Linked DNA regions of Saccharomyces cerevisiae S288C. Changing the gene in region 2 together with the main gene of any one other region gives a genetic interaction. Each region holds a gene or a part of one and is shown on either strand. Other genes may lie near its edges. The genes, in order: GPM3, AVT4, VSB1 and PSA1.

Region 1 (5,188 bases), on a different chromosome or scaffold from region 2:
CTCCTTGTTTGATGGGTTATGGTGAAGCTTTAACTAAAATGAAGGGTAAAGTCACCGCACCTGAAGGGTCCGTTTACCACGAATGGTGTGAAACTTACGCATCTTCATGGTATCGTGAAGCCATGGATGAAGGTGAAAAACTTTTGAACCACATCTTAGAAACATACCCTCCAGAGCAACTTGACACTTTAGTAACAATCTACGCTGAAGTTTGTGAATTAGAAACAAATTTTTGGACCGCTGCGCTAGAATACGAGTAGATAAGATGGCTTATGCACAATAGATAAAGATATACCTACATATAATGAATTATAAAAACAAAAAAATAATAATAAGAAAAAAGTTTCTTTGTTATACAATCTATAAAAACTTCTTATAGAAATTTAAACACGTTTATTTAGCTGCTTTTCGTTACTCATTATTCTATCAATAAAGAAAGAAGGAAATATAAAAGGAAACCATGAAAAAAATGGCGCTAATTTTTTATTTTTAAAAACTATTCATGGATTCTTTTCGAAACCCTCATCACGAACCATTTGAGCATTAACTTTAGCTGATTCTGGATCCAAGTAAAATTTCCTCACAAAAGAGTAATTGTCTCTATCCAACTCTATAACTAGCGGAATGCCGTTGGGAATATCGACATCTTTGATGTCTTCATCTGAGATACCTTCCAATACTTTCAGCAGAGATCTTACAGAGCTGCCATGCCCAACTATAACACACGATTCTTGACTGATTTTGTTGGCGGTAGACAGAACAACATTATTTAAAAATGGTTTCAATCTGACGACCACTTCACAAAGAGACTCACTTTCTGGCAGACGCTCATTAGCCTTCTCTTCGGGGCCGTATTTTAAGTGTCTATTGGGCTCCTTAAAATCATAGCCTGTGGAGGACCCCTGATCATTTTCCTCTTGGACCATTTCCAGGTTTAGGTTGACTTTAGGGGGTTTTCCGTTGTAATCTCTTCTGATATACATGTATTTTTCCTTACCGTATTCTTTCAAGATATCTGGCTTTCTTTGTCCTTGCCATGCGCCGTAATGACGCTCATTTAACCTCCAGGTTTGCAACACAGGCATACTTCCTTCAAATCTTGTGTCCTGCAGCTCCTCCTTAATGTTTGTATTCGTAGTAATTACATAATTGGTGTGTTTTAGTCCCAACTCTTCGAGAATAACGTCCATGGTCTGCTGAGTTCGAATCAACCTTGAAGTATAGCCAATCTGAGGCAAAGAGATATTGTTAGAATCGCAAAACTGCTTGATCAATTTTGCAGAGTGGCGGGCCTGAGACTTCCCTTTTTCCGTTAATTGAGCATCAATCCATCCGCAGAATATGTTTTCTGAGTTTAATTCACTTTGACCATGCCTTAAAATAAACAGTTTAAAAGTGTCAGTAACAGTCATAACTATTCGTTATTAGTAGATCTTTTTGCACTATTTCTCAATCCTCTCAAAGAGACTTTTATTGTAAATCCTCGATTGCAGGTTGTTTTATCACATATGTATAAAATGGAAGCTTCTATTGTTTTATCGAACTTGTCAATGAAATCTCGCATTGTTATCATCTCATAATACAAATCTGAAAAAAAAAGTTAAAAAACAAAGGAAAGTCACACAAAACTAGCAAAAGTAACAAATCAAAATTCGCTGACAGTTAGTGCTGTCGTATCCTGTCACACTTACATAATATATATCTGTTTACATAATCTAATAGCTTGAACAAAAGCAACAGCAAAGGTTGCTAATTAAAACGTGTGCTCTTAAGGACATCATAATTCTCTATCAAGGAAAGATTGGAGCATACCCTGTGGGGTTTCATCATATTCTTTCAGGGTTACCTTGTTATTGTCGTCAATATAAGAATTCGATTGTATGAATTGTCTCCTTGGCAATCTCTTAGATAAGACGATGTCTCTTAAAGACGCCAAATCCGGTGTCACCGTTGATCTATCAATAAAGTACTTACTTCCCTGTTCCACATCGCCTGAACATTTGTAAACATGCAAATGCTTTAAATAGTCTTTCACACATTCATGTCCCGCTGTTTTAATGAGAGATTTATCCAACTTGATGGCAAAATCATCATTCGTGCTGTTCATCTCCAACTTTAAGAAATTCTTATCTGTAGAGTGCTTCATAAATGTTTTCATGATAGAAAATCTTGCTTGCATGTGTGGTTGTCCCCACTTACCAGTTTTTGGATTCCAGTATTCTAAAGCTAGGAGACCCGCACGGGCCATTTGTAGATATCCAGCGTAGATCACTTTATCTTGAGATTCGACATCATGGAAACCAAAAATATCAAGAATCTTCTTATTAGTAAGCAAAAACATGGCAATTACTTCCGCACGACATTCTTCAAATGGGCCAGCTAACTGTCCAAATTTGGAACCCCAAGTTTCACCAACTTTGTAGTATGTGCTCACCGGTTTCCCATCCAAACCTAAAGGAGGGTTTTCCTTATCAAAATTAAAGCCGTCTGTAAATTCTGTCAACAACTTTCCTGAACCATGTCCTAATAATTCATGGATGCCTACTTGGACTTCAAAAGAATCACTTTGATATTTTTCAAAAATTGGGCGATCTTCTTGCGATATAAAACTTGGCGGATGCTTGGATGAGCTTTTGGCAGCCGCGCTTAAGATATTCCCCAAAGAAACATTCTTGAACCCAATTTTAAGCCGAACATCATCATAGTTTGGAATATTGATGCCCGCTGGTATACCCGATCCAGTAAACGTTAATACTTCTAGAGAGGTGAAATCTGGTGGATTGAAAATCGGTTTTTCGTAATCTTTAGACCATGGTAGTAAGGAAATGAATTCTTCTGCGTTGTTAACCAAGCTGGAAAATTTAGCAGTACGTTCTTTGTTTTGAATTGCAACCAACGATTCAAATTCTCCAATTATGCCCGAGGGTTCTCTATATGTTTCGATAAAACCGATATTTGTTTCAATGACGGGAGATATATCTTTGACCCAAAGTTTTTGTGCTTCTTTATGTGCTTGAGAAGAGCCAGTGACAAAGTGGTTGATGTATTCCTGAAGCATTGCTTTTTGAGTATCATTAGCCGCGAATTTTTGAGCTTCCTTTAAATACGATGCTACTAAACGCATTTCACGTGAATGATCACCAAAAATGAATTCTACTTTGGTTACAGCATTGGATAATGTGATCTGTCCACTGGGGTAGGTTTCTGTTATCTGGTTTTTCACATTCTCAGAGGCAACCCAGATTTGGAAACTGTTTTCACCAACTTTGTTGATTCTTGTGTTTTCAGGCAAGATGGCAAGTTCAGCAAACAACTGCTCTTTCAAAAGAGCCATATCTTCAGGTGTCACAGGTAAACCCAGATAATAGGCTGAAGTATAACCTTGAGAGGGAAACCCTAAGAGAGCCGCCTTCTCTTCCACATGGTAAATACCAATATCAATTAGCTCATTGATGGTGGAAAAAAGATGATGAGATGTGAATTCATGGTTAACGTCAACAGGAGATAAAGTGAGCGGAGAAGAACACGGATTAATCTTGGCCAGCTCCAAAAGCTGTTTGAAGAATTTTACCTCACAACGAGGAATAAACTTAGTGTCACCAAACGATTTGAAATTACCCAAATTAGATAAGAATTGAGAAACGTATTCCAAATACAAACCCGTTTGCTGCTTCTGCGTAATATCGTCCTCTGGGTACTTGCCGTTTAGCTTTGAATGAATGGCAAGGATTAGGTCAAAAATTGGCTCACTCTCATGAGAAACTTGTCTCATTACAACCCTTGAACCCGCATGGGAGGCCTTTGACATGAAATGCGCATATTTTTGTTCCTTATCAGTCAATTGAGGAAAGTATTCTGTTTTAACAGAAAGCATGCTCAGAGGAGCATCATGATCGGCGAAAAAGTGGCTCATCTTTGAGGACTTAATGGTGCAGTGCTCAGTTTTTTTTTTCTTCTTTTCAATGTTCTGTTCTCATGAAGGTATTTTTCCTTTACGATATTGGGATTTTTCGCTACGTCAACTTATTCCGAGCGGCTATGCTCTTAGCTATTTTTTCTTCTATTCAAAATTGGTATGATGCTTTCTTAAACTATTTATACAAAAGCTTACATATGTCTACATATGTATTTACATCACAAGAGTGTGCAGAAATAGGAGGTGGAGGAAGAGATCGTTATCTATCTTGAGGCGATGAACTAGCGGACTTACAAAGTCAACTCTTCACCTTTGGTTTTTTTGGATTCACCGTATTTTTTAATTCTAATGGCCTGGATGGCAATGAAACCGGTGGTATCGGTAGGTAAGAAACCGGTCAACTCATCCATAGAGGATTCTGTCGGATCGTACAACTTTTCAGTCTTTGTAGATCTGCCCAGAATGATGACGTTACCCTTATACAGTCTAACCCTGACAGTACCGTTAACGCTATTTTGGGATGGTTGGATCATAGATCTGATGTACTCACACTCTGGGGTGAAGTAGGAACCGTTATATATCAATCTGGAGTAGTTTGGTGTGACGAATGAGTCTCTCAATTGACGGACTTCTTTGTCTAAAGTCAAACCTTCCAAATCAACATGAGCTTTTCTCAAAACAGTCAATGGAGCCTGTTCGTAACAACCTCTGGATTTCAAGTTAATGTAACGATCTTCTACAATATCGATTCTACCAACACCGTTGGCCCTTGCTAAGTTGGATGCGGCCAAGAAAACATCCAAAGGCTTGGTAACGGAAACTTCCTTGGAAGTCTTGTTGTCGGTGTAGGTCAACTTGACTGGAAGACCACGTTCAAAGTCAATGGTCAAATCTTGTGGTTGGTCCGGAGCATCCATTGGATCGACGATCAATTTCCACATGTCCTTTGGTGGGGTGGTATCTGGGTCTTCCAAGATACCTGCCTCGTAAGAAATGTGGGCTTGGTTTTCGTCAGTAGACCATGGCTTGGCCTTGGTTTGGGCGACGGGAATACCCTTTTGTGCAGCATAGTCTAACAAATCCTTTCTGCCAGCAAATCTTTCGAAAAATTCAGGCATTCTCCATGGTGTAATACACTTAACGTCTGGCTTCAGAGCGTAAAATGACAATTCGAATCTGATTTGATCATTACCTTTACCGGTACAACCATGAGAGACCGCGAAACAGCCCTCCTGTTTAGCGACGTCAATTTGGGCTTTGGCAATAACAGGT
Region 2 (8,920 bases):
CATCCACGTCATCATAAAAATTTACCATTTTGGAAGCTGTATTGGTAAATGGTGTGCTGCTTCTGTCTTTGACTGCTTACTTTAATTATGAAACTATCACATTGTCATTAATCCCACTCTACTCCTTGATATGTTTAAAAGTTCTCAGGTTGTCGGGGCATTAAGCGGAGTAATCGGATCAAGCTTATTCGCAGATTGGAAAAAAAAATAAAATTCTGGCAATCTTGAACTTGATAATAAATATGAAATTGTGTATATTCAGACATGCTCACCACCTACTAATCGTAGATGGAACATTAAATAACAATATAGGGGTAATGCTTTTAGTGTTTTTTACCTACTACATAATTTCGTGCGAATAATACTGTGACCTGGCGGTCCTTGTTTATATAAAGTGAATTAAGAAGACGTTTGCAACTGCAAGCTGTCAATGGCGACAATGGCAAAATAGTGTTCCTCGATTCCAAATAAATTCTTTATGAAGCAACAACATATATCGTCTAGACACCGAATATACTCTGGTAAGACGTATAAAGCATGCTTGCAATACCGAAGAAAATTAAAATGGTATCTAACATTGGTTTGAATCTCCAAAATTCCCCTTTAGTCTCTGGAAGGCTATTGCCCCGTAAATGCAGCATCGATGGGTATATATATACCAAAGGAATACAGGCGAGGGATCCTATAACTGAAACGAACTTGTCTAAATTATCAGACCCAAAGTAAGCAATTGATACAACAATGATTACGATTATAGAACGAATAAAGTTCTTCAGCCATTTAATTTTCCAGTTCAGCTTTCCTGAATTAGGACGTAATTCGACTCTTGTTGTTAGATCATCGTGCTTGACATATATTTTAGTGAACTTTGGAAAAAACTTATTTTCAATAATTTTAATAGCTGGAAACAACTGCAAAGGTGTGGACAACATAATTGCGATGGAATAGAACAGCTGGATTAAGTTTACAAAAATGTTACTTTGAGGTAAGTTCAACAGTATAACCGTTTGAACATTTGAGCCGTATGCCAAATATCCCAATGTAGCTATGGAAATGAAAAGTATGGTTGCCGTTAGAATCACCAAAGCAAGTACTAAAGGAAATTTTTCAGGATTTCTCATTGAGTCTTGAACAGGAATAATTAACCCGATTCCTTCGAAAGCAAATATTGCCGTCCCGATAAACAGCGTCCAACGGTCTGCATTTAAGCCATAGACGACACCCATTGCTGGGGTCCCCATCAGGTCAAAAAACAACCTTTTGGCTGTAAAAATAATGACAATGACTAAACCAGCCATGATGAAAAAATTTGCTAGTAAAGATGGTAGTGACAATTTCGAAATGTTTCTAATAAACGAAAGTGGAATAAAAATGATCGTTTGAAAGACCATCAGGTAAGATAAAGGTAGGACGCCCACATGGAATACGTTATCAAGAAAAGCTTGTAAATTTTTTGCAGTAAATATCATATAAGCTCCAGAGAATCCAACTTGAGTTATTACTAGGGAGAAAAGAATTATTATTCTCATCCAAGGTCCATACAGTTTTAAACCAATATCACCAAAGGAGGATACACCGCATGAAGATTTGGCCTGCACCAATATGTAGTAACACCAGTATGAATAAATTCCAAAAAAGGCCAGCATACTTACTGAGAAAAACAAACCACCATTATGAAAGGCATTAGGTAAAAATAAAACGCCAGTTCCAATGAAAGATTTAAGCAATATCAAAAAAACCTTCTTTGTCGAAGTCGTACCTTTGGCTGAAGGTAATACTTTCATATGGTCAGGCCGAGACAGCAATGCACTCCTTTCATCTTCTCCGCGTATCATCATGTTTGAGCTATCAGGGATAAAATCATCCTCGAAGGATTCACCAGCAAAATGTCCAAACACGTATAGAAATTCCAAAAAGTTTCTTGTTAAAAAGGGGACCTTATCGATATCTTGGTTAGAAGATGGAGATGACTGGTTAATCGAATCGCTTTCATGCGAAGTGAAGTCTGAGCTAGCGGAATCATTTAATTGATGTTCTTGCCTTTTTTTGTTGACAATAAATTCCCTTCTGAAGCCACCGGGGACATTTAAACCACTTGCTGATGACAATTTAGTATGGTGCTCAATTTTAGGTGTTACATTTTCCATGGACCGAGGGCGTCTGAGCCGTTTAGGATCCTCTGCTTTAACCAACTTGTAAATATCATGCGTTATGTCGCCTCCAGCGCTACTCAGGTTAGTCTCATCGTCATCACTATCAACATTTGCTGCAGCTATGGTACTTGCTGAAGAATTCTTAGTCGGATTAACCCTAGGGATTGCTTCATTTCCATGAGAGACGGAACTTCTTTTGCTACTGTTCAAGTAGTTAAGCCGTACACTGTTTATAATCTCATCTCTGTGGGGATCCTCCAGAGTCTGAAAATTGGGAGAAGACATATCCACAAATACTCTAGAATCAACGCTTCGACATATATCCCTCGGCGTTAAGGTAGACATAGAATACTTCCTACTATAAAATGGGTTTGAATTGAGAACTGTTGATTGAGCCCTTCTGGGAATTTTCATATTATTGGAAGGATGCCTTAAATTTCCGTTTCTTCGGATCCCAAGGTGCTCACCATCTCCATTGTTAGTGACCATTGATGATGTGTTCTAGGATATTGTTATGTTGATTCCAGATTATGAATGACGTTGAAATGTGTTTTAGAGGAGGAATGATGAGTGCCTTTGAACCTAAGGAATCAGATGGCTAAAAATGCTATGTCACCTCGAAAGCAAGAGCAGATCAAGGTAAATGATATCCAACTATATTGTGGGTATTGCTTTTATCAAACTGGCTTATGACAGTGCTTCACAAGATTTAAGCATTCTATTTCATTGATGAAGCTGTTCGCTTATCTGATCTTGCTGATAAGGCGAATCTTAATGCATGGGTTTATTAAAGGATGATGCATGTGAGAACTGATCACCAGAGCCGAAAAAACATTCTCAGAATATCGCTGAAAACCTTCAATAATAAAAGCTTCCTAGCGCTCCTTCCGATGTCTGTACATTAGGTATCTAGTAGGATGCGTATGTACAGTTGTATTCTTTTCTTACTATATAGAATATTCATGAGATCACACAACACATACAAAATACTTACCTAATTTAGCATGAAATCAAATATGCTAGTCATATCAACGTAGCGACGTCCACAATCGTTCAAATATTTTTGAACAACGCTCCGGCCGGTTTCCATTAGTTCTCTGTTTTGTTCTGTTAAAGCCTTAATAGATGATTCTGTCAGCTGTTCCTTGGGGTAGTCGAGATCATCGGGTAGATATATTGGCTTCAATTCTTGCTTTTTATTTTTTTCACAATCGAATAAAGAATCGAAATATAAAAGTTGATTGTACAATTGCTTGTCACTGTATTTGTATCTCATGACACCCGTGCAGCCGTCATTCAAACAACGCTTACCAAAAACGGAGACTTGTCTTGTAACTATACCGCATGTGCTGTCATCACACTGTAACCACCCTGCGTAATATAAGGAAATGTGTGCCCTTATAGAATGCTCTATTTGGCTAGTTAATTGAAGAGGAGTAAAAAGTTGCTCACAATGCTTGCACTGTAAACCATTATATGACACGCGATAGTAATTTGAAGATACAATACCACCAAATGGAAACCTTTTATCGCATGATGGGCAACTTAATTCTAATGTTACAGTATCCTTAAACCTTTCAACGTCTGTAATTGTTGTTTCTAAGGGTTGCAAATTATTAATATCTTCTCCATTGTTATTACCGCCCTCTCTTCTAAAATACTTTTTACTATCTAAACCAAGCGCTTCACTCAAACGCACCACGTTGAAGCTATCAATTCTTTCTAACAACCTTTCTACCGGCGCGAATATTTGTTTCTCGAGATAATATTGTGGATCAGGTATCAAATTGTTACTTTTAATCATTACCTCATTCAATGCATGGGCACGTTCAGCCACAGAAAGAGCCGGCGTATCCGCTGCATTGTCTATTTCATCCTGCTTTGTGATCACAAAAGTGATGACAGAGCCAGCTTTAACAACTCTACCAGCCTTACGCATTCTTAGAGCTACTTGGACTGCAGGCATGTTTTTACCACCTGGGTAGGCCTTGGGATCTTTTGAAAGCTTCATATTGATCTTATATTTATCAATTCTAATGTTATTGGTTTCCACTTTTATTCTGATGTCTTCTAAGTAATCATACACTTCTTGCAATGCTTCTTCTGGGTCCTTATCTGACAGGATGGTGTTTAAAACATGTATAGAAACGTCCCTCGAAAGTGGACAAAATTCACGACGCTTCATGTCCAACCCTTTAACTTCTAGAACAGTAGTTCCATTACCATTTTTGTCCAAATTTACAGTCAAAGCAGCGTACTTTTTCTTGGCATGTAATAGTAACTTCTTAAAAACATTATCAATATCAATCTCCAATAATCTATAGCGCTCATTTACTAGCCTTTTAAATCCCAAGCCAATTTTAATTGCATCCGCATAATTATCACAACCGGTATCTATCATGACCGAATCTGTATCACCATAAACTACAAGAAGATTCATACTTTCAGCTAGTTGTCTTGTATTCATTAAAATCTCACGACCCTTATTAGTGACTAACATGGCGAGCGGCTTTGCGTAAAATCTACTGTTAACATAACCCAAACAACCATACATAGAATTGGCAGTCAATTTTAGAGCTTGTTGACGAATATCACATTGAACTCGCTTATGGGGATCAGTTTCAGTTTTCATCACCTTCTTAACTTCACGTCGACGATCCACCAGATTAGCTAATAACCTTGGTAAAACACCCTGATCCACCTCTGAAGGAGGTACGCTTGGTAACTCATCGATATCTTCCTTATTTCTATCAACGGTGGTAAAACATATATTAAATTCCTGGATAATAGATGGATACAAAGAATTAAAGTCCATGACTAAAACGTAATTCTTATGAAGACCTTTCTCAGGTTCAAAAACTAAACCACCCTGATATTTTGCCTTTTTAGAATTAACTGGTGCATCAGCATTTTCTTCATTTTGTCTTTGTTTCTGAGCTCTACTTCTATTGCCTTCTTTGTCAGGAACAATAAAACCATTTCTTGAAAATTCATGTAGTAAGATATACTCATTTCTACCAGCTCTTGTACCGCCTAGCGTTTGGGCCCATGCATTACCAGCCAAATTTGTCAACTGTTTAGTCAAGGTTAATAATTGAATTCTATAAGACACCTCAGCAGAAATCATACAATTAGTAATATTCTCTTGTAGGGCCATTGTCATACTATTTACATCATTTTGGTATTGTGGATTTTGATAATCAATATCTAACGGCTTATGCTCCTTTTCACATGTAACTTGATACATCTCTGAAAGATCCCAACTTTGACATTTGGGTGTTAATGATTGACCCATTTCATTGGCGATATCACATATCAGCCTACCAGAGCAAATGTCACTAATAAAAAAATGGTTCATATTCGAATTTCCTCTACCGAATTTTTCAGGCCAAGTCCTTCTTAAACGACGGCCAATAGAGCTGAACGTTGGAATGTTGAGATCATGCATTCTATGAGCTAAAACATCTAAGTAGACATTTTGCAAACGATGGCCTATGATAACATCTGGGTCTTCCACTTTTAACATAGCACAAAAACAAGATAGCATGGCCTTTTCGTTGTTGAACAACCTGACTCTACCGGGTAGTTTCTGTTTTGCCAGTGCAGCTAAACCTAATGGGAAACTAGTTGACTGAGGCGGCCTTACTAAAGTACACAAGTCGTCTGGTTTTATATTTTCAGGTATCGGTGAATCCAACGAGATATTTCTATATGCTGATAACGTTATCGAAACAATCTCTTGCTTATTTTCCTTGGGATTCATTAACGTCTGAATCGATAAAGATAGACATCTCAGATTAGGCATTGTCTTTGTTGTAGTAGGCGTGATATTCTGAGGCTTATCTACCGAAACTTCAACCGCACAGTGAGAAGCATTACGAATTGAATTGAAATCTGCTCCCTTTATATCTAACCAGCATGGTCCCATAATCCTATTTTGAATAACAAAACTTTCAAAAATATTGGAATTCCCACCAAAAACATGATAAAAGGTATCGCTAGATAAATCCGATGGAATGGTGTCTCGACTGGACTTCGGTGTTTGGTATGGAAGTAAGACTTTCAAATAATCACTTTCAGATGGAATGTCAGGAAGCTCAAACGAATATTTCATTTTTTGAGGTTTAGCGCGGATATTATCCAGTCCATATTTATCCATCAGTAACGGAATTATTTCCTCGTGTATATCGGTAGGTGTTTTACCCTCTCTTGGAAGGAAAAATAGCTCTCTACAGAGACCGTTGATTTGAACCATGGCTGACACACAATTATCATCCTTTAGTTTAACCTTACCAAATAAAATCAAAGTGTTGTTCACTTCACAGTAATCCAACCAAAACATTTGGAAAGTATCAGTTTCCGGATCTACCACATCTTCCTTTTTGACATTAACCGCAAGTGTAGCAACATCGGTGTTGCTCTGCAAAGATTTACTTGGAGTTAGTCCTTTAATACCGATTGGCGTTCCGGGTGCTGTGACAAACGGTGAAGTTGAAGGGTTACTTCTTGAGTCTATATTCACGCGTCTAGTTGTTGTCACACTTCTCATAGTTCTTCTTTTCAGAATAATATCTTCATCACTATCTTCATCATCTTCTTCATCAGCCAAACTTTGAGCGGATGGTGGATTTGCTAGTAACGTATCTTGAAGTACATTCTGTCTCTTTGTGGCTACTACTGGGGAATTTTCCACATCATCCAATAAATCCTGTACATCATTTGCGTAGCGCAGTTTCCTGCTTTGTAATTTTAACGGTGATGATTCGATTTCTAAATATTTATCAGTACTTGAATCTGGATCAATCTTGACTTTTTTAGAAATACCGGCATCATGACTTGACTCATCGTTTCCGTTAACTCTCTTTATTGACGATTTAAATTCACTAGTCGGCGAAGAATTTAAATTTTCCCTTAATTTGGATGGCAGTAAAATATTGGGTTTTTCTACTTCACCAGATTCAAACTCACCAAGAATGTCATCAAAATTATCGATGGGGATACTTTTTTTTTGGGATTTTTTTGCATGTGCTAGCAGTGTTGATTTGGAATGTTGAGTTCGCAGCATATCTGTAATCTGGTGGTCTTTCTCCCTTTTTATATTCTTCTTCCTTTTAGAATCCTTGCTAGCAAGGTTTCCAGTGTCTTCATCACTTGAACTGTTATCAACTTCCCTCCAATCTTCTTCGACACCACGATCGACGTAGCCTACACCATCGTCATCTACAACAAAATCGTCATGCAGCAATTCCTGGCGCTTTCTGGCCCTGTATTCTTTTTCGTCGATTTCGTCGTATATTCTGTCACCATCTGATTCGTCACCTTCGTAATCATCGATGGATGTACCATTTCGAGCGGCTTGCAGCTTTCTCAATTTTTCTAATTTTTCACTTTTAGAAGACATTTTCCACTGTTTATTTTATGCCTTGATACTATTTGGTTTCTAATAGCAGAGTGAAGACAGTTTTTTTTCTCGTGAGTCTGAATTGGTATGTGTTCGTTGTCTAGACCAAGAAGATATATATCATCCAATGAGTAAAGAATTTAATTCAGTAAAATTGGATACACGCGACGCGTTTTACTTATAGGCTAACAAAAAAATTTTAACGCGTTTGAATAGATGTGTGATGAATGAAGAATAGAGATTGCAGGCAGTACAAGAAAAAAGTTATATTTCTTTAAGAAAAATGCACGTATATATATATATATATATAATTAAACTGTATAGTCTGTTATTTTATTCTTTCTGAACCTTCTCAAAAATTTGCTTCTTTAAGCTTTCAGCTTTTTTTATTCCTTCCGTTTCACCGCTACTCAGAACTAAATTCTTTAAAAGCTTGTTTTCCGTTTCTAACGTATGTATCCGTTTTTGTAAGGATGCTGCAATTTCGGTCAGTTCATGTATCGATGATTCTAACTCCTTTTCCTTTAGTTTTTTTTTTTGATGAGATTTTTTCGACTGTATCAATAAATCTTCATCGTCGTCCCCTAACTCTTTCTTGATCAGTTGCTTCTTTTCAAAGCCGTGTAAATCTGCATCGTCATATTCATCGTCTTCATTATCAGAATACTTGCGGTCGACGGGTACTTTTTTATTTTTCAAATCTCCGGAGTGTGATCTTTTTAAACTATTTTCCTTGTGATCAGAAGAACTTGCATTTAAAGTTGGCTCGGATCGTATCTTGGCAATTTCGTCTCCACGCGTCGTACTTGACTTAATAACAGCGTTATTATGATGGACATTATCGTTTCCATTGTTACCGTCACTCTCTCTTGATATTTTATGATCGTTTCGTGAAGGTTGTCGTTGATTGTGAATATTATTACTTTTTGGATGCTTTATGCCCAGTTCCAAAATGGAGCTTAGAAAAGAAGCCTCTGCTACTACACCGTGCTCATTGAACGAAGGCGACGTTGATAAGGTAGTTGGCGCAGCAGTTTCAGCCGGAGAGGGTGGTATTAAGACACTTAAAAGTTCGTTGATGTTTTTTAGAATGGGTGCCTCTTGACTGTCATTGGTGTTGATGTTTTTATTATTATTACTGTTATTTTCCCTAATCTTTTTTTGATGATGATACGCCATTATTGCGGCTATAGCATCTATTTGATCATTGTCAAATCCCGCGCTGATCAACGAGTTATATGCGCCGTTGGGCACGTTGACCCTCGGTAATAGAGTTACTAAAACAGAGGTTGGTATAATTGAATAGTCAGGAACAGTTATATTGGGGGCTTTGTTGGAGCTGTTATTATCGCTGTTACTATCGACT
Region 3 (9,878 bases), on a different chromosome or scaffold from region 2:
AACTACTTGAAGAATTGTTTTCTATCAGAAACAGGGAACTATTACTTGATATCTCATTTAGGATTTTGCAGGATTTCACCAGAGACTCTATTAAACAAGAAATGAAGAAACTAAGTAAATTAGACGTTCAAAATTTCATTGAGTTCATAACAAGCGGTGGTGAAGACAGCTCACCAGAATGCTTCAACCCTAGCCAAAGCACGCAGCTATTTCAACTCTTGTCCCTTGTGCTAGATTCTATCGGGCTATTTTCATTAGAAGGTGCTCTATTGGAGAACTTAACCTTATATATTGACAAACAAGTTGAGATTGCTGAAAGAAATACCGAATTGTGGAATTTGATTGATACGAAAGGTTTTCAGCATGGGTTTGCTAGCTCAACCTTTGATAACGGAACTTCTCAGAAGCGAGCCTTACCCACTTACACCATGGAATACTTGGACATTTGAGTATGCAATGAATTTGATTGTATTGTATAATACCTATATAGAAAAGGAACTAATATATATAGCGTCTACTGTGGTTACTGATAAACTAACAGGCATTTAGAATTTGAAAACATCATATACATTAGATGTGTCCAACAAGAGATACCGGAATGTTCTGAGGGGAAGAAGATGGAATTTAAAGCTAGTTTGAAATAAAATGGAAGATTGTGATTTTTACAATTTGAATTTAAACCTTTTTTCCTCCTTAGGTGAGGTTACCGAATACTTGCGCACGTCTTCATCTGAGCTATAAAGGACCCTTTCTATAAAGGTAACTCTCGTTGAATCCTTACTCACGAGTAAAACTATTTGAGAGCGAGTTCCGTAGTAATCACCATCAGGAATTGAGGCACCTAAGTCATCCCTGGGAGGCCTCCGTAAAGGTGGTACGTATATGGTATTCATGGTTACATTTGGATCTACCATCTGCAAGACATCTGGGTTTGAAATAGTGCTTGGAAGGGAAGACTTCGAGGCGAGTTGAAAGCAACTTGATATTATTTTCTCCTCATCTGATTCAATATTCTCTAAAACTAGATTTTCTAAACTATCACGTGCTACCTTTACTTTTTCCCAAGCCTGCCCTGGTATACTGGAGCTGTCATAAAATTTACCATTAGAAACAACCATGTAAGAATCAAGATCTTTCCTACAGGTAGAACTCAACACATCAAAAGTTCTTCCTAGAGAATCAATAACTTTATATTGCTTTTTGATAACGTCGCCGTAAAAAAAATTAAAATCACCTGTGGACTTCAACCCATCATAGTGACCTTCAAACTTTTTGTAATTATCCCAATCTTCAAAATCTGCTTTATGGATCGACAAAAATATAAATGGTAACAGACCACGGGATCTTGATTTCGTATTATTTTGCTCATTGTCAAGTTTTAAATTAAGAATAGTGGCTAATTTTCCTTCTTTATTTATGCCAGACCAAGTGCCAAATATTTGTTTTTCTGCTGAGGTTTTGGCCAGATCGTAGGGTGAAAGGATAAAATCATTGTTATGCCAGCATGTAGCATGTGTTTTTCTTGCCAAGAATTCGTCTCTGTTAGATATTAAGATGAGTTCATAGTCAGGATGTGCCCTTGTGGCCATTAAAATGCACATTATTTGTTCGTTAGTTTTTGGTTTTTAATACTTTAGCCACAGGTGTGTTAATAAATGCAAGCGTTTCTTTCCTTTTCTGCCTCACTTCATATACTACTATCCTACTCCACTTTCAGGGGGAGACTATTTTTTTAGCGCTTTAGGAATTGAACGAAAAAGTCGAAAGCTAGGCAGATGCCAAGAATATAATGTGAGGCAAAAAAAAAAAAAAAAAAAAAAAAAGAATGATTCTGAAGTAAACGCATTGCGAACTAAATGTTGCTATGCCACTTAATCGAAAATTCTATGAAAAAACCCCTTGATCCCCTTTTCTGATTTATGTTTTTGATATTTTTCGATCCTCTTCTTATTCTTCTCTACTGCCATGTTCAACTTGTTTGGTTCTAGAGAAGAACCTTGAGAATTTGTAGTAACCTTGGATCGTGTCGAATGCATATCTGTATGGTCGTTAATATGCTCTTTTTTAGTTGAGGATACGCGAGAGTCCTCCCTCTTCAAACTTTCAAGCGTCTTCAATTTGACCAACCCGGTTTCAGTTTCTAAACGATACTCTTCTGGAAATGCAGCATCGTGAGCTGAGTTTGTTACTGGGGCGGTAATATCCGGAAGAGCTTTCTTGTTCAAATTTAAACCATCTTCTTTTAAGGAATCAACTGTTTCTGAGTTGCCCTCTAAAGCATTGTGGGTAACCATCTTTTCTATCGAATTTGAAGTTGGCCTTTTTAAAGTACTAGAACTGTGATGAGAATGCACATCTGAATGACGGTGTTGATCATCTACATTACTATCATCTTCCAGTTGCCCCTTTCCAACAATGGTATCGTTTTTTAAAAGAGGCTGTTCTGGAGCTTCAGAATCTTTGAACCCAGTAAAGGGCTCCGGTTTGTAAGAGTCAATAGAAGAAAAGGACGATATGTCTTCATATTCATTATCGGTAGTGACAGTAACAGATGGGACAGGCATAGTCTACGTTGATACGTTGTTATGACTTTGATTTGTTAATGCGGATATAAACTAACCGTACAACTACCCGTTGTGAATTGTTGTGGTAGTATATTAATGAAAAAAGTAACGGTATTTTTTTTCTTTAGGAGAGCAATTAAGTCAAGTGAGGTATGTAGTTGCTCATCGATGGGAATTATCACTTTTCGTCTACGATAGGGGCCCTATCAAAGAAAATCGCGCAGTAAAATTCCGGAAGTGAAGACTCAAGTACAAAAAGTTTATAGTCGAGATGGTAAAAATCCTACAACGGCATCACTTATACAGATGCAGGAGCATCCTGCTTTTATTTAGTACTGGTGTAAATTACTTGCAATACGCCGGCAATAAAAGAAATTAAATAAATATACGTGTACGCTCTCATGCGCTAACAAGTGTGTAACCTAGTAATTCTTTGAATCTGGTGTCCTTGATACACATGACCATTAATGCAACCTCCACGTACAATGCTAGATTGTCTTCTTTCAATTTGTTCAACGAGCTAGAGTCTATAACCCATAATACGGAATCAGTTTCAGTTTCGATGGTGAGCTTTTGTTCTCTAGGCATAGCATTCCCTGGCGCAATGATTTTTCCGAAGCATGTGCCATTTGAAAAAATCTCGTACAAGGTTCCTTGTGGTAGTTCATATGTTGCCTTCAACATACCTGTTTCCACAAGGAAAAAAATGTTGTCTGCATGTAGTAAATGTGATTGACTTGCTAATCTGCGCCTGGTGAAGTAGGGGCAGAGTTGTGCCCAAAACTTGATTTCCTTTTCTCTTACTTTTTGAACTTCAGATATTATATCGGGTCGGTACTGCTTTAATGCAAATAACAATATAGGCAGGACAGGTTCATCATCTTTGTACTCCTTTTTGAAATTCTTCACTGCTTGTTCGTCGTTTACAAATACATTCTGTGCTACAGAAAGTATTTGGTAATTACGAGGAGTATTGGTTGGTAGTGACATTAAGTTTCTCGCTGTGTCTCCATTGCTTCCCCTGTTTAAACCATTTCCTATTGTATCAATTTTTTTGTTTTTAGTGGCTGCAATTACTGCGGATACGACATTATTTTGCTTTCCTTCTTCCAATCTTTCTTTCGCCTTTTTTCTTAATTGTTTATATTGAAAAAGGAATTCGTTTTCACACCATTCCAACGCACTGTTTAAATCAGCAAATAATTCCACATCGTTTAGTAATCCCACATTATTGAAGGCGTTGTAAATACGGTCCCTTTCTTTGATTGAAGATATGATTAGTTTGATTCTTTTGGTTTCCGTGAATCTTTTAATTCTATTGAAACCTTCTGCCGCAGAATAGTCAATATTGTCGGCATTAATATTTTTAAAGTCCAATATTAAATACTTTATTCTGCGTTTTGTTGCATCTTTGTTACTTATTTGCAGCAATCTTTCAATTTTCTCTTCAATAGATATGATTGTTCCGAAAAACAGAAGGTTTTGGAGCTTTAAAACATATATTTGTTCACCAATTCCATCCAAAAATTTTGTTTGAACGTAATCACGATATACTGTACTTCTTGCGACGTTCCCATTATATTCACCGTTAATGGTTTGTAATTTCGTACTATCCACCAAAAACGAAAAACATGCAATTAAAATGCCAACGATGATACCTAGGACAAAATCAAAGATACCCATCGTGAAAACAATAATGACAACAGTCAAATATTCGAATCTATTCAATTTATTCCATGTATCGACCAACGCTTCCACTAATAACTCGTAGCCTAGTAGGAAAATTAGAGAGCCCACTATACAGATTGGAATGAATGATATTATGACTGGTCCAATGATCATAATACAGATAGTCAAAGCTATTAAAAGGAACCCAGCGAATGGCGAATCAGCGCCCGCCCTAATAAACAGAACACTGTTGGTATATACCAAGTAATTTTGGACAGAACCTAATAATCCACTAAAAAAGTTGGAATAACCATGTGCAATCAATTCTCTGTCAACATCATACTTATCCATTTGTAGTGACATAGCCAACGCAGGAACATTTATAGGAACATGTAGGATACCAAAAAATGTCAATGCCATCATCGTTGGTATTTGTTGCAAAACTAGTGACCAATGAACTTTATGGACATTAAATAATCTATAATGGTCATACCATTTACTATCTGAGTTGGCAATAGGAAAAATCCATCCAGCTTGTCTCAAAGCATCCAAGGATAATGTTGGAATGATCGCAACAATAAAATGAAACAAAACTAACGTCAAGATGTAAAAACTTGGCAAAACGAGTGAGTTCTTAAAGTAGCGTTGAGTGCCGATTAAAACTACAGTCAATAGTACAGGTAATAACCATTTCGCTAATGTGTCATAATCCGTAAACAGCCCTGAAAAAAAAGGCCATGAATATTCAAATTTCGCCACCCTCGTTGTGACTTCAATTCCTGTAATTATCAAGAAATAACCAACACCTCCAATACAGCCAATCAATATGTGTCGTGGAAAAAATCCCACTATCTTTCCTAGTCGTAGTTTACCCAATGCATAGAAAACGACACCTGTGAGCATCGAACTTATCACATAACAAAATATCGTTGTCGTTATGATTTCGTCATCATTACCTGCTAATGCCTCTTTTATAGCTAATGCCATTGTATGATAAAACGGAGTAATTTCAATCATTTCACTCCCAATCCCGGAAGGAAAACTCGACCAGCCTCCGGAGTACACGGCTTGTGATATTATGGTGGAAATATAAAACATGGATATACCAGTGGGCCCTAAATGAGAAAAAACTGGCTCTGTGATTGGAAAAATGATCATACCATAAGATAAGGCATCTAAAATGTTCAAAAGCAAACCTAACACTGCTGCGGGCAGATAATGTGCAAATTTGGAAGGAAATGACGTACACATATGCCACAAGTTTCTTGGCCTAAACCTTAAATTATGGGAGGGACGAAGTGACTGATATCCGCCCGCGTAACCATCTTCTAATTCCGGTAGTGAACTATTCTGTAGTCCTCGATTTCGGTCATCGTCCACGTTAGACGATGCTGGGCTAAGTAGCAATCTGGAGTACTCATCTGAATATTCTTCATCAATATTCTCTTCTATAGTACGCATAGATTGATCATCTTTTCTATCACCATTGCCTATAATGTCCATGTAATCCTTAATTGTGGGAGAATTTTCTTCCACAGAAGAGGAGCAAAATTCATTGGATAGTTGAGCTGTCTGCCTATGCAAATTTTCTGATCCATGTATCACTTTAGGATGTTGTTTGTTCGAGATGGGAAGTTTTGAATCCGACAAATTATTGATCATAGGTGAGTTTCCACCAGTAAAAAATCCGCTCATGTATGAACGGCATAATGGAGGAGACATTGCGCTAACACTCGCTCTATGCATCTTGTTCACAGATGAGTCTTGATTTATTCCTAAAGAAACTGATATGGCCTCCGAAAGCGACGAATTACTCCGGCGTCTCCTAATAGTCCTTCCCATATTTCTAAATTAAATTTTTGAGATTTTAAACTGTCTTGCTTATAGACCGGTGGTAGCTCTGAAATGAAACGATTCTTTTTGATTGTTATCTGGTTCCTTATCAACTCTGTTACCTTATTGAAAAAATAAAGAAGGGCTGTGAGATGGAAAAAAAAAAAAAAAAAAAAGAAAAAGAATGCAAAATATTATTTAAAAAGGGATAGCTTGCCGAGATTACTTGTTGGAGCCACAATTTGAAATCACCTCAAGAAATAGAACATTAATATGATTCAACTGTGACTGTTATATATATAGTCATAGTCCCACACATTTTTTGGGATCCACTCAGGGACCGATACGTGGGAAAAAGAACCTTGATAGCGCGAACTTCCTAGGGAATTTTTCATTTTGCAGCATAAGGATAGATAGATAAATAGATAGATAGATAGATAAAGAGAAAAAAAGCGAGATAAGAAATTAACTAATCAATCGGCTGCAGTATTCCATGTGATATCTACCGAAAGGGTTTCATATCGTAATTCGAATCCTATAGATAAGTAACCTAAGGGGTCAGCAGATTGAAAACTTTTATTATATACATATATCTATATAGATTAATATCCGTTTGTATCACCGCATTTCTTGGTTCACTCGTCAATTATAAGAATACGATTGCGCTCGTATTAAGCACTGACGTGCTTTTCGTGTATTTTGGCGTATCTACCTGAAGGATCTTCGGCACAACCCCAATCGGCCTTTGGAATCCATCTCATGACAGTGTCTGCCGCAGTCTTTTGAGGAAACCAAGCATCAAACTTCAGCCTGTACCAGTAAGCTTCTTTGGTGGTTGGAATATCGTCGCCCCAATCAGCCTTTGGATTGGCAAACATGGCGTCAGAAATGGCCCTTTCAGCAGTGTCTCTTAGGCCGTCAATCCATGAGTAGCCAACACCATCGGAAAATTGTTCCTTTTGTCTCCATAAGATTTCTTCAGGTAGGTATGGCTTAACATCTGGTTCATCTGTAGTGTCGAATGCCTTTCTTAAAATGTATTTTTCGATACGTCCTTCCTTTGGCTTGATCATCTTTTCATTTGGATCAATGTTCATACATAGCTGCAAAAAGTCTTTGTCTAAGAAGGGAACACGAGCTTCTAGACCCCAAGCCATCGTGGACTTATTAGCTCTCAAACAATCTGCCAAATGCAAGTTCTTGACACGTTGCACAGATTCGGTGTGAAATTCTGCAGCAGAAGGTGCTTGTGCGAAATATAGATAGCCACCGAATATTTCGTCCGAGCCTTCACCAGAAAGAACCATTTTGACACCTTGGGCCTTAATCTTTCTAGATAGTAAGAACATTGGTGTAGAAGCTCTGATAGTGGTAACGTCGTAAGTTTCCAAATGGTAGATCACGTCGTCCAAAGCATCCAAACCTTCTTGTAATGTAAAAGTGTGTTCATGGTGGATAGAACCAATGAATTTGGCGACTTTTCTAGCCGCTTGTAAATCAGGTGCATTTGGTAGACCAATCGCAAACGAATGCAAACGAGACCAACCGGATGTGTGTAGATGGCCTTGGTCATCGATACCTGCAAGTTGCTTCTCGTCAACATTGTTGTCTTCGTTAGCATCAGCATTAGCTTTTTCCGTTTCACGAGCAGCAATCGCAGCAATCAAAGAAGAGTCCAGCCCACCGGATAGAAGAACACCGTATGGAACTTCAGCCATTAGCCTCTTTCTAACGGCCTTTTCTAAACTGTGTCTGATAGCATGGTAGTCAACTGGGGTGGATGGGATACGCTTTTCATCCAACCAGTCTGGGGTAAAGTAACGAGTAATCTTGTCCGTTTCAGAATCGTAGACATGACCAGGAGGGAACGAAATGATACTGTCACAAACGTCAGTTAGACATTTTAATTCGGAGGCAAAATAAACGGTCTCTGGAGACTGAGAAGAACGCCCCATGTATAAAGTGACAACACCGATAGGGTCTCTTGCAGCGACAATACGGTCTTTCTTGGAATCATACAGACAAAATGCGAACATACCGTCCAGATATTTTGGAGCATCGATATCATGTTCCAAATATAACGGTATGATGGGTTCACAGTCACTGAAAGTTTGAAACTTGTAATCAGAGCACATCTCCCTTAGTTGGATGTGGTTGTAGATCTCACCATTAACGCCAAGCATATATTCGCCATCAGCTGAAGTGATTGGCTGGGCACCGGAGTCTAAACCAACAATAGCCAACCTCTCGTGAACGAAAATGGTGGAATTCATAACGGCATTTCCTGACCAATCTGGGCCACGGTGTCTGATTTTTTTAGATAGTTGTAGAGCTTTTGGTTTGAAGTTGTGAATATCTTCATGCTTGAAGGCTGCAAAGATACCACACATATTGTATTGTAGTGAGTATTTGTGTTTTGGTGAGCTTAACTGGGAAGCAAAAAAAATAGTATAAAAGTTAAATTAGAATAAATGAAACTAAGCAAGTGGCAAATCTTTGAAATATGCGATTCAAAGTCATAATTTTTTCAAGAAGAGAGGCTGGATGAGGCTTTACTGATTTTCTGGAGAAATCTTGCCATGAGTCAATGCTAAGAAAATTTGCAAAAACCCGCGCCGTGCGGCACCCATATGTGAATAAAGCTTTACTAGTAGATAGAAAATGTAGACCATTCCTGCAGGGTCCATACTACGGACGTATGGCTTTGTGAATCGTTTCACAAAGCCAAAAGAATGAACCCAATACGCAAGGTCCAGTTATGCAGAGAGCAGCAGGATAGCGGCTGTTGCACGCAACGAGACTGTTCTCTCATGTTTTCCACGATTTGATATATCCCCCTCTTAGTAAATACAGAGCCGTTCGAACGGTTTCTTTAGTAAAATCCAGGCTCCACCTTGATGGGAGGCATGATGAGTTCCAATTAGGAATGAGCAGGAGCTCACTTTAATCTTGTTATCGCAATGTGGAGTTAGCCTTAAGAACGTGTCCAAACCTCTTATGTATTGTTTTGTTCGTAATTTGATCGCTTTGTACGTGCAAATCGCTCTCTGCCCACAGCAGGAAGGACCACATAAGTGAATAAGTAAGTGGTGGTTCTATGATTTATCGGGATCTTATATTTGCATTCTAAAAAGTAAATGGTCTCTAGCGGGATCGAACCGCTGATCCCCGCGTTATTAGCACGGTGCCTTAACCAACTGGGCCAAGAGACCTATTTTTTTCGGAAGTCACTGATTAATAGTTTGATAATACAGGTGTAAAGAGTAGTATTTTCATGTGTCGCATTGTGTATGACAACATATGTGCGTTCGAAATAGATATAAGGCTTCTAATTTTCAAAGAAGGCGGTATCGTTAAGTATATGCATATGTTACGGTTTCACCTTGAGGATTAGAACTCTAAAAAAGGAAATAAGAGTGCTACAAAAAATGACGATTACTTCTTTTTTCGTTCTATGATATCGCCGCTCATTGTTCTATTACATCACCAATCCTTGAAATTTCAGCTTCATTGAATTGATGATGCTTTTAATAGAAACCATTTATGTCATATTTTGAGAGCCATACATGATAATATTCTGGTAATATAATCATAAGTTATTGGTTGTAGTTGGCGTAATATTCCAGGATTACGAATATGTATTTTATTTTACGCCCGCCATGTTGTATTTTTTTATCATAAAATTTTACACCATGACAAATCTAATACCACTGATGCAGTGTACTGTTTATACTTAAGAAATAGGTAAATTTTGAGATAATTGTTGGGGTTCCACAATACTGTCTGTCATCTTCTGTTATTCTGAGTATTTTT
Region 4 (7,858 bases), on a different chromosome or scaffold from region 2:
CCTAGACCGGCGATACCGAATTCTTCAATATCGACAACGCAACTTCCCTCTATTAGATCCACCATGGGACCACAATCCCCTACATTGGGTATTCTGGAAGAAGAAAGGCACGATTCTCGACAGCAGCAGCCGCAACAAAATAATTCTGCACAGTTCAAAGAAATTGATCTTGAGGACGGCTTATCAAGCGATGTGGAACCTTCACAACAATTACAACAAGTTTTTAATCAAAATACTGGATTTGTACCCCAACAACAATCTTCCTTGATACAGACACAGCAAACAGAATCAATGGCCACGTCCGTATCTTCCTCTCCTTCATTACCTACGTCACCGGGCGATTTTGCCGATAGTAATCCATTTGAAGAGCGATTTCCCGGTGGTGGAACATCTCCTATTATTTCCATGATCCCGCGTTATCCTGTAACTTCAAGGCCTCAAACATCGGATATTAATGATAAAGTTAACAAATACCTTTCAAAATTGGTTGATTATTTTATTTCCAATGAAATGAAGTCAAATAAGTCCCTACCACAAGTGTTATTGCACCCACCTCCACACAGCGCTCCCTATATAGATGCTCCAATCGATCCAGAATTACATACTGCCTTCCATTGGGCTTGTTCTATGGGTAATTTACCAATTGCTGAGGCGTTGTACGAAGCCGGAACAAGTATCAGATCGACAAATTCTCAAGGCCAAACTCCATTGATGAGAAGTTCCTTATTCCACAATTCATACACTAGAAGAACTTTCCCTAGAATTTTCCAGCTACTGCACGAGACCGTATTTGATATCGATTCGCAATCACAAACAGTAATTCACCATATTGTGAAACGAAAATCAACAACACCTTCTGCAGTTTATTATCTTGATGTTGTGCTATCTAAGATCAAGGATTTTTCCCCACAGTATAGAATTGAATTACTTTTAAACACACAAGACAAAAATGGCGATACCGCACTTCATATTGCTTCTAAAAATGGAGATGTTGTTTTTTTTAATACACTGGTCAAAATGGGTGCATTAACTACTATTTCCAATAAGGAAGGATTAACCGCCAATGAAATAATGAATCAACAATATGAGCAAATGATGATACAAAATGGTACAAATCAACATGTCAATTCTTCAAACACGGACTTGAATATCCACGTTAATACAAACAACATTGAAACGAAAAATGATGTTAATTCAATGGTAATCATGTCGCCTGTTTCTCCTTCGGATTACATAACCTATCCATCTCAAATTGCCACCAATATATCAAGAAATATTCCAAATGTAGTGAATTCTATGAAGCAAATGGCTAGCATATACAACGATCTTCATGAACAGCATGACAACGAAATAAAAAGTTTGCAAAAAACTTTAAAAAGCATTTCTAAGACGAAAATACAGGTAAGCCTAAAAACTTTAGAGGTATTGAAAGAGAGCAGTAAAGATGAAAACGGCGAAGCTCAGACTAATGATGACTTCGAAATTTTATCTCGTCTACAAGAACAAAATACTAAGAAATTGAGAAAAAGGCTCATACGATACAAACGGTTGATAAAACAAAAGCTGGAATACAGGCAAACGGTTTTATTGAACAAATTAATAGAAGATGAAACTCAGGCTACCACCAATAACACAGTTGAGAAAGATAATAATACGCTGGAAAGGTTGGAATTGGCTCAAGAACTAACGATGTTGCAATTACAAAGGAAAAACAAATTGAGTTCCTTGGTGAAGAAATTTGAAGACAATGCCAAGATTCATAAATATAGACGGATTATCAGGGAAGGTACGGAAATGAATATTGAAGAAGTAGATAGTTCGCTGGATGTAATACTACAGACATTGATAGCCAACAATAATAAAAATAAGGGCGCAGAACAGATCATCACAATCTCAAACGCGAATAGTCATGCATAAAATATACATAAATAGAGGAACTTTACATGTATCCATATACTGAAAAATAGATAAAACAATGAGATAATATTTATTAACTTCTACGTAAATAAAAAGTTACATAAGGATCAACCTTTTTTTCTTTATTTTCTTTTTTTTTTTTATTTTTCATTTTCAATTACAAACTAAGACATAACAGTAAGCAGTGCTTTTTCTGTGCATGTTTTCCTCTTTTTATAATGATATTGGCTAAAATAAAATTAACAAAAACAGATGAGTGATATAGATTATATTCATTACAGTTCGTTTTCCTAACTCACATAATAATAGCTTCCTTTGGAACATTATCGGAGATAGACTTATGAGGTAAGACTTTACCACCGTTGATGTAGATTTCGTCCTTAACTTCAACGTCGTCACCCAAGACAGTGACACCTTCCAAACGACACCATTGACCAACGGTAGAGTTCCAGCCTACGATGGTAGATTTGACCAAGGAGTGGTTCTTGATGGTGGAGTTGCACAAAACAACAGATCTGGTGATTCTAACACCATCACCGATGGTGACATTAGGACCGATAACCACGTCTGGGCCAATCTTAGCAGTGGAGGAAATCTTAGCGGTTGGGTCGATCAAGGCATTACCAACAATGTTGGCACCTGTAGCCAATTTTTTTGGTTGTCTCTTGGCCAAAGAGTTCAAGTAAAGAACGGTACCAGACAAGAAGTCCTTTGGTTGACCAACATCCATCCAGAAACCTTCCAAATCGAAGGAATATAGTTGTTTTTCTTCGACCAAGATTGGGAAAGTTTCCTTTTCAATTGAAGTTGGCTTCATTTCAATCAAGTCAATGACTTCTGGGTTTAAAATGTACAAACCGGCGTTAATTCTGTTACCAACAAATTCCTTTGGCTTTTCAACAAATCTGTCAATCAAGTTTGGAGTAGCTATATCATGGACAATGACACCGTATTTAGAAGGTTCGTCGACCTTGGTAGCAACAATGGTACCTTTACCACCGTGAGCTTTGTGGAAGTCAGCCAATTCCTTGAATGGATATTCGCAAATGACGTCGGAGTTTAGGACGAAAAATGGAGAGTTGTCCTTCTTCAAAACATCTTCAGCCAATTTCAATGGACCTGCAGTACCTAATGGTTCAGTTTCTACAGAGAAAGTGATGTTAACACCATATTCCTTTTCGTACTTCTTCAAAGTTTCCACCATGACTTCTGGTCTGTAATTAACAGCAAGAACGATGTCAGTAACACCAGCGTTGGCTAAAGCCTCGATTTGGTGTAAAATCATTGGTCTATTACCGAATTCAACCAGTGGCTTTGGAACGGTCAAAGTTAAAGGTCTCAATCTGGTACCGTAACCACCGACTAAAATTAAACCTTTCATTTTTCAATTATATATGTTTTATTTGTTGAAGTTGTAGCTTGTCTTGTGCTGATAATATTTTGTTTGTATAGTCAACAAAATATTTGGACAGAAGAAAAGAGTTAGCGAATGTAAAGTAGTTTGCACACTTGATGAACGTTATCAAAGTCAAAGAGGTGAGAACAAGATAGACAAAGAAAAAAAAAATACAGTTTTGGAGAAAAGAAAACAAGACTATGTGAAACTTCTAACAATGACGTGAAAAGTCTACTATATATATGTTTACAAGAGCGCCACGAGGCAAGGAAAAAAAGAAAACAAAGCGAGAAACCACCAGCTTACTTTACTACCGGTCAGCTGTGGTTCTGTGTCTGTTCGTCTGTTTGTTTGTTTGTTTGTTTATTGCTGCGCTGTTCATGCTGAAAAACGACAAAAACAAAGAAAAAAAAGTTTTTCAGAGATTGAGATAAAAATAAACGTGGTGGCTCCCGAGGCATTTCTAGCTGGCCAGCAAGTACACGGTGGCCGTTTCTTTTGGCGTTTTTTTTTTCTGTTTTCGCGTTCTTCATGCTGTGCGTTGCTGGTGAGGTGGCGTGGACGGTTTGGTTTAGGCAATGATAGAAAAAGCTATAGTCAGAGTTGCAGGAAAGGACGAAAGTAGTCCATTTGGTGCCGTTATCCAAGGGTCTTGCTCTTAGTCTTGCTTTTCACCCAGCACGCGGTAAGAAGGATCGGGTGCAGCATGAAGAATGCTGACTGTACGCGTTTCGATTTGAAGCTTTAGGATGTTCTGTGGGTTGGGTTGGCTCGATCGACAGTGCGTATAGTGACCTTTGAACTGTACCGGGTGGCACGTCGTGCACAGAATCAGAAGTAGTTATAAAAGATTTGTAATTGCGTATATGCAACCAAGTTTAGGCTTTCTCCGTGCCGTTTTTTAAGGTGAAATGTACTCCTCTTGAAAATGTAAAAAAATGGAGCCTCGCAGAGCAGCTTGCCAAGCAGGTTGATACAAGGTGAGCCGCCGAAACATAACGATAAACGTGGTATAGTTTTCGATTGCCTTTAGTTTGGGTGGTCTCAGTGCTGGCACCTGACGAACTATTCGTAGGCAGGAGAACTTGCATCATGTGGTGTTCTTCCGAGATAGGGATGCCGTTTGGTCCTTACGAAAGTCAATGTTCTGGTACTACTAATTATTAACATAGTTCGTTGTATACACACTCTTTACTTTCATAAGAAATAAAAAGCACGTCTAAGAAATCTCTACGTCTTGGCTGCGGCAAGCAACTGCATAGAAAGCACATAGTAGTAACTCTAAAATGCGAGCTTCATACAGACAATTACATAAATGCAACATAGGCAGCATGGGATCCTGGGTTTCATATCGTCAAAGAAAGCCACCAACTGGCTTTACCATAAAAATACGAAAAGAAGTGCACACATTCTTCTTTTTGGCTCATCACAAGTTCTTCAATTTACTGTCATTACTTTTGTTTCCTTGTCAGATAATGTATGGGTGGTGTGTACACCAAGGTATTTTTTTTTTTACTTGGCAGATCTGCAATGCATAATAGAATGGTAAGGGAACGAGTAACAGACGGGAAGCGAATGCGAACACAAAGAATATAAATTTGAAATCTCCTGTTGCAAAGGATTCTCTAGACATTTACTATCTCAGTGACAATTCTCGAGTGAAACAAGAAATTGAGATGGTAGGTCAGCGCCCATACTTCTTGAATCAATTGGAGGAGCGGATAAAGCAAGTTTCCCCCCTCAATGTAAATCATCTTAAGCAAAATTTTAAAATCTAGGCACATATAAAGAGAAAATGGGAATGATTTTGCTGGATAGGCTACAGTGTTAGGAATGCAGAATTAGGAACTATAGATGATGCGATTAAAGATATTAAACGAGAAGTGACAGTGGTGGCTTCGACAACGGCAGTCGTGCTCGGTCGACAACGTGTATGTTTTTGCCGAGCAGAGCAGGGAAAGTCCTTCTTTCTGCGCGTGAATCAAAACACATTGGTATCGAATTTAACATATCTGGGTGAGGAATGGACAATCCTAATAAAGTACTGGAGGTTTGTCTGTATTTCCAAGTTCTTGCTTGTAGAAACTGCTTTCTTTTCTCTTTTCCTGCAGCGGTCGAACATATGTGATTATTGATTAGCCATTTGTTCCAAGTCATATAGTAGTATTACGTGTTCAGATGCGGTGTTAGCGTATCTTTTTGTTAAATAAAATATCATTGTGCCGTTGCCGCCCTACCTGCCAAGGGTCAAAGAAGGCACCTTTATACGATGCCACCTTTTTATAGTATTCTACTACAGAGTCATCGTTCACCAGTTACTGTTCATTCTACTAAATTAGTATGGCGTGTTGCATAGAAGGAAGCATGAATTACAAGATCAGTAGAACAAAAAGTTCAACTGTTTGGAATTTAGTTGAACATGTGACGAAAGCTCTGCTACTAAGACAGGGGCAAAAAATAACAATATGTAAGCATAAGAAATGGGTCAATGTTGGGATACTTGGTGAATTCCGTTCTTTTTAGAAGCGGATTTTCTTATTCGTTTATATGTTGCCATTCATTACCCTATCATATTATGAATCTTCACATTTTATTTTCCATAAGATCTGATGACTGTTTCCCAATCACCTTACATCATATATGATAATGTACAATTGATATGAAGAATAGCAGTCGATGGATGATATTTTATTCTTATTATCAACATGTACAAAGTGTTGGAACGGTAAAGACCAGTGCAAATCTGATAAAACTTTAAAATAACATGGACAAATTTATGTCCAGGATTCTCCGAAGAACTCATCCTTGTTAGCTCAGTTGGTAGAGCGTTCGGCTTTTAAGCGCATTTGCTTAAGCAAGGATACCGAAATGTCAGGGGTTCGAGCCCCCTATGAGGAGTTCTTTCTTTTTTTCTCTCAATTTTTAACCGGTACCTTTAAAAGGGTATCAAAAACAATAGCATAGCATAAAAGAAATAAGTGCAATTTATTGGTGTCATTTATATAAGCTATGAATTTTAAAAAAAATAAATGTAGCAGTTTCTTTTTTGTTTAAATTCTGAGTTTTCTACTTTTTAATTTCCAAAATACTACAGCTGAAAGAACAGCGGATACAACGAATGCGATACTGCTGTACTTGTAGACAGCCGAAATACAGGACGGATTTCGCAGATCTCCTCCGCCACTCATACAGCGAGAATCGTAAAATTTGGCATACAACATGCAAAATATCATAGAACCTATAGCAGGTGCAATTAGTAAGCTACCGTAAACAGTCCCGAATGAGCGTTCGCCCCATACTAACAGGACCAGCGTCGGATAAACAGTGAAAAGTCCACCGTATACAATTCCAACCAATGATCCTGTAGGTACTAGCCCCCAGGGTGACGCTGAAGAGGTCATTTTCAATAAAAACAGTTGTGCACATACCCCTAATGAAAGGAAAGTCAACAGGATCCATTTAATTGATATTTTTTTCTTGGCGAAGAAGTCTGCCACTATGCCTGTGAGCAATCTCGTAAAAGTGGAAGATAGCGCGTATGTGGATAACAACTTTGTAGATAAGGTTGGCGCATCTAATTGGACTAGCAGGTTAGTCAGTGATCCCATATTGGCAATAAACATCTCGAGGGGCCCAAGTGATAACAAAATTGATACCGCTAGGATATATGTCACAGGATCACTAAAGATCCTTAGCATCGTCTGCGTAAACTTTTCTTGAACATGATTACTTCGTTCTAACAGCGGTGATTGTTCCACATCAGTTTGATCATCCAGCCGTTTTTGGTTGTCTTGCTCTTCATTAAAATGCAAAAGTGATACCACGCTGGTGGCTATCCATGCAAGTAGCCCAATAACGACATAAACGAGGGCAAATGTTTGGAATACTCTTCCCAGGTTTAAGTCACTATTGGACGAGGAAGAACTTGCGTTAGAGGACCAGAACCATTTGATTCTTAGCAGTTGAGAACCGACTACAGAAGAAATACCATAACATGTCGTTGGTAAGCTAATGGATAGTAGTTTTGTATGAGGATATAGCTTAGTGCATGTCAGTAAAGCGCTAAAGTATAAAGCGCTTGTTGATATACCTATGAAAACGAAACAAATGATGGATAGATTGAATGATGAGTCACCATTTCCTCCGAGAGATAACTCCGGATGATTAAAAACGTAAGCCAGATATGAATAGCTAGGTATGAACCCTATGATGGCTAAAAGACTTAAAGTAATGGGGCCATGAGAATCAGCGATCATCCCCAAGATTGGTGGCGTCAAGTACATCCCCAAATTAGTCATACTAGCGATGGTGTTGATTTGCCATGAGGAATAATTTAAATGTTTCTGCCACGGTTGAGAGTAAAGAGATATCAAAGTAATGAAGCCAGTTGACACCGCAGATAATAGCGAAAAGATGTATGCAACACGATGTGATGACTGAAGAGACAAAACATGGGGTAAGAGTAAGCGCGTATGGTATGAAAGGTAGTGCTCCACCTTTGATAGAGGCATGATTTGCACTTGGAAAATGGTTATTGCTATAAAA

The links.
Region 1: mutations in AVT4 (region 2) and GPM3 together harm fitness more than expected from each alone (negative genetic interaction), as found in Saccharomyces cerevisiae (one large-scale study listed by BioGRID).
Region 3: mutations in AVT4 (region 2) and VSB1 together harm fitness more than expected from each alone (negative genetic interaction), as found in Saccharomyces cerevisiae (one large-scale study listed by BioGRID).
Region 4: mutations in AVT4 (region 2) and PSA1 together harm fitness more than expected from each alone (negative genetic interaction), as found in Saccharomyces cerevisiae (one large-scale study listed by BioGRID).

The regions. Positions count from the first base shown.
Region 1 is NC_001147.6:219,492-224,679, reverse strand, and holds GPM3 (phosphoglycerate mutase family protein GPM3), read right to left. Parts: upstream 1,413-5,188; coding exon 501-1,412; downstream 1-500. Other genes in the region: THI20 (trifunctional hydroxymethylpyrimidine kinase/phosphomethylpyrimidine kinase/thiaminase), read left to right, coding at 1-260; YOL057W (dipeptidyl-peptidase III), read right to left, coding at 1,778-3,913; ARG1 (argininosuccinate synthase), read right to left, coding at 4,207-5,188. UniProt on the Saccharomyces cerevisiae protein: Could be non-functional.
Region 2 is NC_001146.8:428,721-437,640, reverse strand, and holds AVT4 (Avt4p), read right to left. Parts: upstream 2,643-8,920; coding exon 501-2,642; downstream 1-500. Other genes in the region: MIC27 (Mic27p), read right to left, coding at 1-28; DNA-directed DNA polymerase alpha catalytic subunit POL1, read right to left, coding at 3,148-7,554; MET4 (Met4p), read right to left, coding at 7,888-8,920. UniProt on the Saccharomyces cerevisiae protein: Involved in amino acid efflux from the vacuole to the cytoplasm. Capable of transporting large neutral amino acids including tyrosine, glutamine, asparagine, isoleucine and leucine.
Region 3 is NC_001139.9:738,521-748,398, reverse strand, and holds VSB1 (Vsb1p), read right to left. Parts: upstream 6,075-9,878; coding exon 2,964-6,074; downstream 1-2,963. Other genes in the region: UTP8 (Utp8p), read left to right, coding at 1-449; YGR127W (uncharacterized protein), read right to left, coding at 663-1,601; YGR126W (uncharacterized protein), read right to left, coding at 1,872-2,564; ASN2 (asparagine synthase (glutamine-hydrolyzing) 2), read right to left, coding at 6,737-8,455. UniProt on the Saccharomyces cerevisiae protein: Amino acid transporter involved in vacuolar uptake of basic amino acids for storage during nitrogen replete condititions. May function as an amino acid/proton antiporter.
Region 4 is NC_001136.10:353,462-361,319, forward strand, and holds PSA1 (mannose-1-phosphate guanylyltransferase), read right to left. Parts: upstream 3,299-7,858; coding exon 2,213-3,298; downstream 1-2,212. Other genes in the region: transcription factor MBP1, read left to right, coding at 1-1,917; MCH1 (Mch1p), read right to left, coding at 6,364-7,824. UniProt on the Saccharomyces cerevisiae protein: Involved in cell wall synthesis where it is required for glycosylation. Involved in cell cycle progression through cell-size checkpoint.